Linked DNA regions of Macaca fascicularis. The protein of the gene in region 1 binds, or shares a complex with, the protein of each later gene. Links are inferred from orthologs where the notes say so. Each region holds a gene or a part of one and is shown on either strand. Other genes may lie near its edges. The genes, in order: ARVCF and HNRNPH2.

What was found.
Region 2: ARVCF (region 1) and HNRNPH2 share a complex: the UniProt entries of both Homo sapiens proteins name them as parts of the ribonucleoprotein complex. The link is inferred for Macaca fascicularis from reciprocal best matches to the Homo sapiens genes ARVCF and HNRNPH2.

What each region holds. Positions count from the first base shown.
Region 1 is NC_088384.1:32,806,719-32,811,327, forward strand, and holds the start of ARVCF (splicing regulator ARVCF), read left to right. Parts: upstream 1-1,793; 5' UTR 1,794-2,035; intron 2,036-4,609. UniProt on the Homo sapiens protein: Contributes to the regulation of alternative splicing of pre-mRNAs.
Region 2 is NC_088395.1:108,081,420-108,085,349, reverse strand, and holds the end of HNRNPH2 (heterogeneous nuclear ribonucleoprotein H2), read right to left. Parts: intron 2,975-3,930; 5' UTR 2,922-2,974; coding exon 1,572-2,921; 3' UTR 744-1,571; downstream 1-743. UniProt on the Homo sapiens protein: This protein is a component of the heterogeneous nuclear ribonucleoprotein (hnRNP) complexes which provide the substrate for the processing events that pre-mRNAs undergo before becoming functional, translatable mRNAs in the cytoplasm. Binds poly(RG).

The DNA.
Region 1 (4,609 bases):
GGGAGAGGTAGTCTCACTTGCACAGATGTTGGTGTATGGTTGTCTCTTTTGTGCTCTTTCAACAGAGGTCTGTCCAGTCCTTGCAAGTCTGGGGAGGGGATGGTACAGGACTATGAGGTCACTGTGAGAAGAGGGGCTCCAGCAGAACCAGGGTCCAATGGCCTTGGAGAGATGGCTGGGGACAGCTGGACTCATTACGTCTACTCCTAAATGGAGGAAACGACCCCTCAGCTATACAGCACCTGAGCCAGAATGTCACCATGGTGCTGCTCCACAGGATGACAGCTACCTGGCTTGTGAGGGCCCCTATTCTAGGGACAGATATTTCATTCTGCCCTCCCAGAGCAGCAAGCAACAACCCTATGCCAGGAGGCCAATTGGCACATGAAGTGCCAGCTCCAATCGATTGATAGTAGCTGCCTGGCTCTGAAAGGTAGCTGAGATCGATTCACCATGCTGCCAGCACACAGATGGACCCAGCGGTGGCTCCAGCAGTGAGTCCTTGCCTTGGGCCATTTCATTTTCTTTGTCCTGGCCAAGGAATGATTGGGTGAACACACGGGACTCCCAATATGGGTGGAAAAGACAAGAGTGTCTGGTCACACCCCTCCACCACCCATGAGCATGGTTGTGGGCAGTTTGCTTCCCCAGGTGGCCTTGGGGAATGCAATGAGCTGAGGAACTGGTCATGTCCAGGTGCATCCAGGGCAGGAAAGGCTGACAGCATGCATGAGCCAGGGTCACTGGCCAAGAAGTCATCTCAGGACCTCCCCCTAGAAAAGCCCACTGAGCAGCATTCCTGCTGGTTCCCCCCACACCACAAGGTTACGCGGAGCTGGCGGAGAGTCATGCTCCCACTCATGTCAGGTACTCTCAATCTGGAGAGGAAATGCAACCATGCCAATCTCAACAGGCAGCGAAGCCGCGTTTCTTTCTGACTCCAGGTAAGGTGGAGAAAATGGGACAGCAGTACGGGGGCATAAACGCACAACTCCACTTCCCCAGACGGAGAGCTGTGGGGCTGTGAGGATGCCAGGAGGAGGTAATAAAGGCGGCCCCATGGGGGACCTGAAAGGTGGGACAAGCCTAAGAGGTCTCCACATCCAGGCCTGGTGGGGGAGGTGAGCCCCTGGTTTACAGAAGGGGTCCCTTCCTGCTCTCGGAAATACGGCAGCCTACCTCCACCGCCGCCCCGCTCCGGGGGCCCAGGGGCGGTGAGGGTGAGAGAGTCCCCAGGCCCCAGGGTCAGACGACTGTGTTCAAGCAAGTCAGAACCTCTCTGAGGCTGTTTCCCAACTATAAAATGGGATAGTGGCAGAACTCTCCCTCGCGGTTTGCGTGAGGAATACAATTCGATGTCGACAGGAAGGCGCGGCGTGCACCGCGCAGCGCACAGCGAGTAGCAGGCGCTGAAGAAGGATACCTGTGAACTGGGGGTGGTAATGGAGGCTACGCGGCCGGAATCCGGGGAAGGGCCGCCGGCCCTACCAGTCCCTGCTCGGGGCTGGATGGTCGGGGGATGTTCTCGTAACTCGGCTGGGAGGAAACTGCCCCGCTTACCCGGCCACTACCACCGCAGAGGTTCGGGCAGGTGCCGCGGCCTCGGCCCCTCCGCGAGGGGGCCGGTCAGCCGCCGGGACTGACATCCCGAAGGCCCAATGGAAAGCCGTCATCTCCACGCACCCGTCCAATCGGCGCCGGTTGCCGTGCCGCGCCGGGTCTCTCGACCAATGGGGAAATTTGCGGTCAGATGGGGCGGGGCGGAGTTCCGCGTCGCCGGCCCGGTCCGCTTTGCACACGGGCCGCGTGAGGGCGAGAGGGCTGGCCCGGGGTCTCGGGTTGCTTGCTGGGTCCGGAGGGAGGGGGCGGCCCCCGCACCGGCCCGACTTGCGGCCCAGTGGACGGCGACCCGCGCCGCGCCCCGCCCTGGGAACGCCGCACCCCGCGCGCCGAGGGACCCGGGGACGCCCTTCTGGGGTCTGGGGCCGCGCTGCGGAGCCGCCCACGCTGCGCAGCCACCCACGCTGCGCTCCAGGTAAGCTTGAGCCAGTGGGCGGGGTGCGGGACCTGGGGCTGGGGCAGCGGGTCTGAGCCGGGACTGGGGGCGGGGCTGCAGATCTGGGACGCGTTCCGGGCAGCGGTCCGGACTGGGTCTTGTACCCGGAGTCGAGATTAGGGCGAGGGTCTGGGCCGGGCTTCGGAGCCAATCTCCGCCCCACCCGCGTCTTGTCCGTGCGCTCTGCGGCGCCGGAGACCTCGGGCCGGGGGAGGGGGCGGGTCCCTTTGTGCGCGGTCTCCGAGCCCTACTCGACCCGGCCGGGTGCCTTGCATCGAGCTCTCCAGCTGAGCGTGGCCCGACCCCGCAGCCGTGTCCGCCCCGCGCGACGCTTGGCGCCTAGCTGCCGGGGCCCTGCGGCCACGGAAACTTTCCAACGGCCCGAGGGGCGGCAGGCCGGGAACTTTCCTGGGGCAGCGCGCCGCCGGGAAGCGCAGGGGCACCGACGGCCCGGAGGGATATCCCCGCGCCGCGCTGCTCCTGCCGCCTCGGGGGTGAGCGAGGGCACGCCACCTGGATTCCCGGCCTGGGTCTCCCTCCCCACGTCGCCCTGCGCCCCCTCGGGGCCCGTGCAGAGCATGTCTTCTACACTCTGAGGGAACCTCTGCTCGGTTTGCTGGGGAGTCGCCCTGGGCAGATGGCGTGAGATCTCCAGCCTATTTTAATTTTTAAATAATTAAATATTGGCTGCTTATAAAATTTCACCGTTTGTTAGCTATGTGTAACGTAGCATACTTAAAATGGAACCAAAGGACTTCAGCTCCCTTTCCCTACACCCAGGCATATTTAGAAATAAGGAAAATAAAGGTGCTCTGTGGGTGTTTTTTAAAGTAGGCTCTTAATGCTGCTGTCTAATAACCTCAGGTGGGTACCCACGCCGCTGTGGGGGAAGCCTCCTCTATGGTATGGGCCAGCGGGGTGCAGTGGGAGCCTCCACCTCTCCTGACCTTAGCTTCTCTGGGGTAGCTGCCTTTACTTCTTACTACTTCCTTACTACTGCCTTATCTGCCTTTGCTCTGGGATCCAGGCTGTGGTTAGAGATCTGGTCCAAACAGGGCGGGTGTTACCTGTCTTGTACTCACTGTATTGGAGTTGAGATGGTGCTGAATGCAGGGGCCAGTCAGCGCTCTCTTGCCCAGTGTGCCATGCCAGTGGCCAGTCAGTTCCTGAGCAGGTGATCCAGGCCTTAGGTCAGGCCACAGTGTGAACCACAGCGTGTCTGGGAAGGCATTTCCTCCAGTCTTGCCCCATCCTATCCACAATGTCTGCTCCCAACTGTCTCCTGACCCCACCCTACCCCCATTCTGGGGTCCACCAGGGCCCAGCAGAGAGGACTGGGCACAGAACATTCGCTAAGGGACTCAAGTCCCAGCTGAGAGGGTAGTTGAGCACAGCCAAGCCAGCCCCTGCCCAGCTCTTGGCTGAGCTGCCCTGTCAGACTTTTCTGCATAAACACAAGAACCTCCTGACCAAGGTCCCTCCTGGGAGAACAAGGTCTGACCCTCAGTCCTGCTAAATTTGAGCCTCCCCACCCACCACATCTGGGCTGCTTGGCTCCCGTGTTTGCTCTGGCACCCCTTCCAGAGGTGGCTCTGCAGTGTCCTCCCAGCCCCAGGGGCCCTCTGCATCTCTGTGGCTCTGTGAGCGTAGGGTAGCACCCCTCCTCCTGTTTGTGCTACTAGGGATTCAGGGTGAGTTCACTGTCACCCCAGGAGTCTGGCCTGGGGGAGCGTGAGGCTGTCCGGAGTGAGTACAGGAGGAGCAGGAGCAGCAGGATCCCCAGTCTCTGGGAGGAGCAGGGAGCTCTGCGCATGGATGCCAGGCACCACCCTCTGTCTAGCCCATCTGTCGTGTTCCCCACCTGGCCCTGGCAGAGGGAGTGACAGGGTTGAATTGGGATAGGGAGTCAGGGCCCACTCTGTAGATGGGGCCAGGAATGGAGGGTGGGAGTCTAGGGACAGCACTGTAGAGCACCAGGTGGGCCCTGGGGGTCCTGGGGACTTCCCTGATGGTGGCTTAGTCGTGGGGAGGTGTCTGTTCTTTTGCCACTAGCTTCAATTAAGACCAGGATGAGGCCGGTCGTGGTGGCTCACGCCTGTAATCCCAACACTTTGGGAGGCCAAGGCAGGCGGATCACCTGAGATCAAGAGTTAGATACGAGCCTGGCCAACATGGCAAAACCCTGTCTCTACTAAAAATACAAAAATTAGCCGGGCATGGTGGCATGTGCCTGTAGTCCCAGCTACTTGGGAGGCTGATGCAGAATTGCTTGAACCAGGGAGGTGAGGGTTACAGTGAGCCGAGATCACACCACTCTTCTCCAGCCTAGGTGATAGAGCGAGACTCTGTCTCAAAATAAAAACAAAAACAAAAACAAAGCAAAACCGAAAAAACCAGGATGGACTGGTCACGGTGGCTCACGCCTATAATCCCAACACTTTGGGAGGCCAAGGCAGGCAGACAGATCACATGAGGTCGGGAGTTTGAGACCAGCCTGGCCAATATGGTGAAACCCGGTTTCTACTAAAAATACAAAAAAATTAGCTGGGCCTG
Region 2 (3,930 bases), on another chromosome or scaffold:
TGATGCACATGAAAAGTTTGAGAACGCTGGTTTAAGATAAGCTTTAGATGCCCTAAAATACACCTGAGAGTGTTTAGAGAATCTCCTAATGAATTCATGGAGGAGACAATTTATTTCCTTAACATAAGCCTGCTTCTTTTTTATGTTTTGTTTTTGACACATAATTGTAAGCCTACTTCTTTTTTAACATACAAAGGTGCCTTCTAGTTTGTGATGAAATACAAAGGATTATTTATTCGCTTTCACTTCTTTGGATTTTAGAGAATACTATCTTGGTAAGTGGCTCCAAAAGTAGCTCAATAGTCCTGTAGACATGGTAAGTTTTTTTAAAAAAGAAGAAAATGTTCAACTTTAATATTAATCAAAAAAATACAAATTAAAATTGCAATGAGATATCATTTCTCAACTAACAGACTGGCAAAGATCACAAAGAATAATGTGCATCAATAAGGAGGGCATAAGGGGGAAAATAAAGCACACACTCCAGGTAAAAAGATAAAGTACCAGAATCTTGCTGGTAACACAAATCAGAAGCCTTAAAAATGAGTATATCTTTGACTCAGCAATCCCATTTCTAGGGATATATCTTAGAAATAATTAATAATATATGCAACAATGAACATATAAAGATGCTAAATATATTGTTTATAATTTTAAAATTAAAAATTTTAATTTTGAGGGAATTATAAAGTCAATCAGCGTGCCCATATGACAGAACATAATAAAAATCAATCAGCACAAGATTTTTTCCAGTTTTTAAAAGGAAGATTTATTTAACAAGTTTCACTTAGTACAATACATCTAAATGGAAATCACAATACAAGGAAAGATTTAAACCAAAGCCTCAGAATTTCATACAAACAACACGACCAAACTTCTAAAGTATTGGTATTACATCTTAAAATTGTCCCGTATCCTTAAAAAAAAAAAAAAAAAAAAAAAAAAAAAAAAAAAAAAAAAAAAGTGTACACTCACGTGCCTTACAGGATATTAAACCAAAAAGCTAGAATTAACAAACATGCCAAATGTTTTCACTTTGAATCGTAGACACAGCTCCTATATTTGAGTTTTACAGAAAAGCATGTTTCTCAACATGCATCCGAAGTTTTCAATGTATTTGTGGTATAAGAGCAACATTTAACATAAGTGAAACTGCATTAACCTAAATACGCTTACTGCTTAGGTACACTCCTACAACATAACTAACTTGAGGAAAGCTAAAAATTGTTTTAACAGTTATGGTCAATACTGAACTTTGTTATTATGTCCTAGATGAATGTTTCAGTGTTCAAAATTACTGAGCTTGAAGTTTTAAAATAATCTCAACTTCCACTTTACAGTAAGCATGAATCACAAGCCTGTAATGCAAAACTGTTAAACTTAACTCTTGTTTTCTTAAAAAAGGAGAAAGAAAGATAAAGAAAGAGAAGCTGACCAAGAGTGATCAGAATCAATTATATTTCCCATTTACCAATCATACTGGATATACTAGACATCCCTCCCATTCTATTCAACTCCCACAAATGTACAGCTTTTATATATGGAGTAGCTGTTTGGTGCTCCTTCTCTACCTAAGCAAGGTTTGACTGATAGTCACTGGAATTTTCCTGCAGAACTTGGTCATATCCACTCATACTGCTCTGACCACCATAACCACCTCCATAACCACCACTCAGCTGCTGGCTAGCAGGACCTCCATAACTAGACTGGTTGGATAAGCCCATCCCTCCCATCATTTGGCTACCATAAGCCCCACCACTTGCCCCTGCTGTAGAATTCAAAAAAAGTTCTACATAGCTGTGATCGTAAGCACCCCCACTTGTTCCTGCAGTAGAATTTAAGAAGAGCTCCACATATCTATGTTGCATATTAGCTTTGTCTTTTGCCATAGCTGCCACAGCATCTTCATGAGTAGCAAATTCAACATCTGCCTCACCAGTAACTCTGCCATCGGGTCCAATTTCAATATGTACTCTCATGGGATTAAGAGGTGAGAAGAAATTATAAATATCATTCTCAGTGGCTCTGTAAGGTAACCCCCTCATGTGTACACAGTGCCCTGTGGTGCTCTGGAAACTGGACCCACCATCTCCATATCTATGATCAGACATTCCTGAAAAACAGTAATTGAGGTCTCTTCCAAATCTATCAGACCCAAAGCCATATCCATCATTATAGCCACCATAGTCATCATAGCCTCCATACCCTCCACCGTAGGCACCACGCCTCATCCTTTCAAACCCAGCTCCTCTGCCAATGCTATTATACCCTCTGCCAGCCCCCGGCCTATCATAGGGACCTGGCCGCTGCATAGCCATGAGCTTTCGAGGGGGATCATAGTGGGTTCGAACTTCAGCTCGGCTACTCTTGAAGATCTCAATGTACCTGTGCCCTATTCTTTCCTTGTGTTTCTTTAAGGCCTTCTCAGCTATCTCCTGCGAAGCAAACTGCACAAAGGCTTCCCCTGTGCTTCGCCCCTGAAAGTCCACTGGCAGTGTCATCCCATTTGGCACAATTTCCAACCCTGAAAAGAACTGAACAATCTCTTCCTTGCTACAGCCAAATGGGAGTCCTCTAAGCCGGACGAAGCCATCGTTGGCAGTATCAGGGCTATTCGGACCTGTATGCTTCAACACCCAATCCATTTCAACACTGTTAGACTTGAATACTTCAACGTATCTGTGTCCCATGGTTTCTCTGTCCTTCTTCAAAGCCAATTTCACTTCCTCTTCAGATTCAAGTTCAACAAATGCTTCACCACTTGGTCTGCCTTCTCTGGTGTAGATGAAACGAATACCTGATGTGCCATTTTGGATCTTGCAATCAGAGAAGAAGCGCATCACTTCATCGGCTGAGCAGGACCAGGGTAGGCCCCTGACCTTCACCACGAACCCCTCCCTGCCTTCCGTGCTCAGCATCATGGTGACTGTTGGGCTCTTGGTGGCAAGTTTGGCTCAATGCAATTTTAGTGTAGCTGAAAAAAAAAATTAGAAGACTACTGTCATGGAAAAATGCCCGTGATATAGTAAGATAAAAAAGCAAACTATTAATAGAAAATTCAACTATGCTGACAGCTTTTCTGTAAGATGTCTGTATAAACAAAGAGTTCACCAAATTTTTAACTCATTCATTTTTTAAGTTATTTATTCAATGCCTATTACATGTTGGATACCATTAAAAATTAATAGCAATCGGCCGGGTGTGGTGGCTCACGCCTGTAATCCCAGCACTTTGGGAGGCTGAGGCGGGTGTACCACCTGAGGTCAGTAGTACCACCTGAGGTCAGGCGGGTGTACCACCTAGAGGTCAGAGACCAGCCTGGCCAACATGGTGAAACCCTGTCTCTACTAAAAATACAAAAAATTGGCTGGGCGTGGTGGCAGGCGCCTGTAATCCCAGCTACTCGGGAGGCTGAGGCAGGAAAACCACTTTTATGTACCCAGGAGGTGGAGGTGAGCCAAGATCACGCCACTGCACTCCAGCATGGGCCACCAGAGCGAAACTAAGTCTCAAAAAATAAATAAATAAATAAAATAACATCAACAAATCAGTGGGATAGGTCAACAAATAAAAGATGGCTATATCTGAATATACACACATAAAAAACTTCACTAGATCAAAAGATTAAACAAAACATTAAAATACAAACAAAACACAGGTTATATACGTTCTTTATATAATCTCCTTATATACAAATGTATGCAAATCAATAAAATCAGGGAAATATTTGGGCTTCAGAGATAAATGAAAAAAAGACATTATTGGGAATTCACACATTCATTTTAGAAATATTTTTTAGTTGCCATGTCCAATACTCAGCTCTGGCATACAAGAATCAATAAGCCCAGAAAGGGCTTATGATCCTACAGGAGCACCAAATATCATTATTAAAGATGTAAATGCAAATATACATTATACTTGCCATGACCC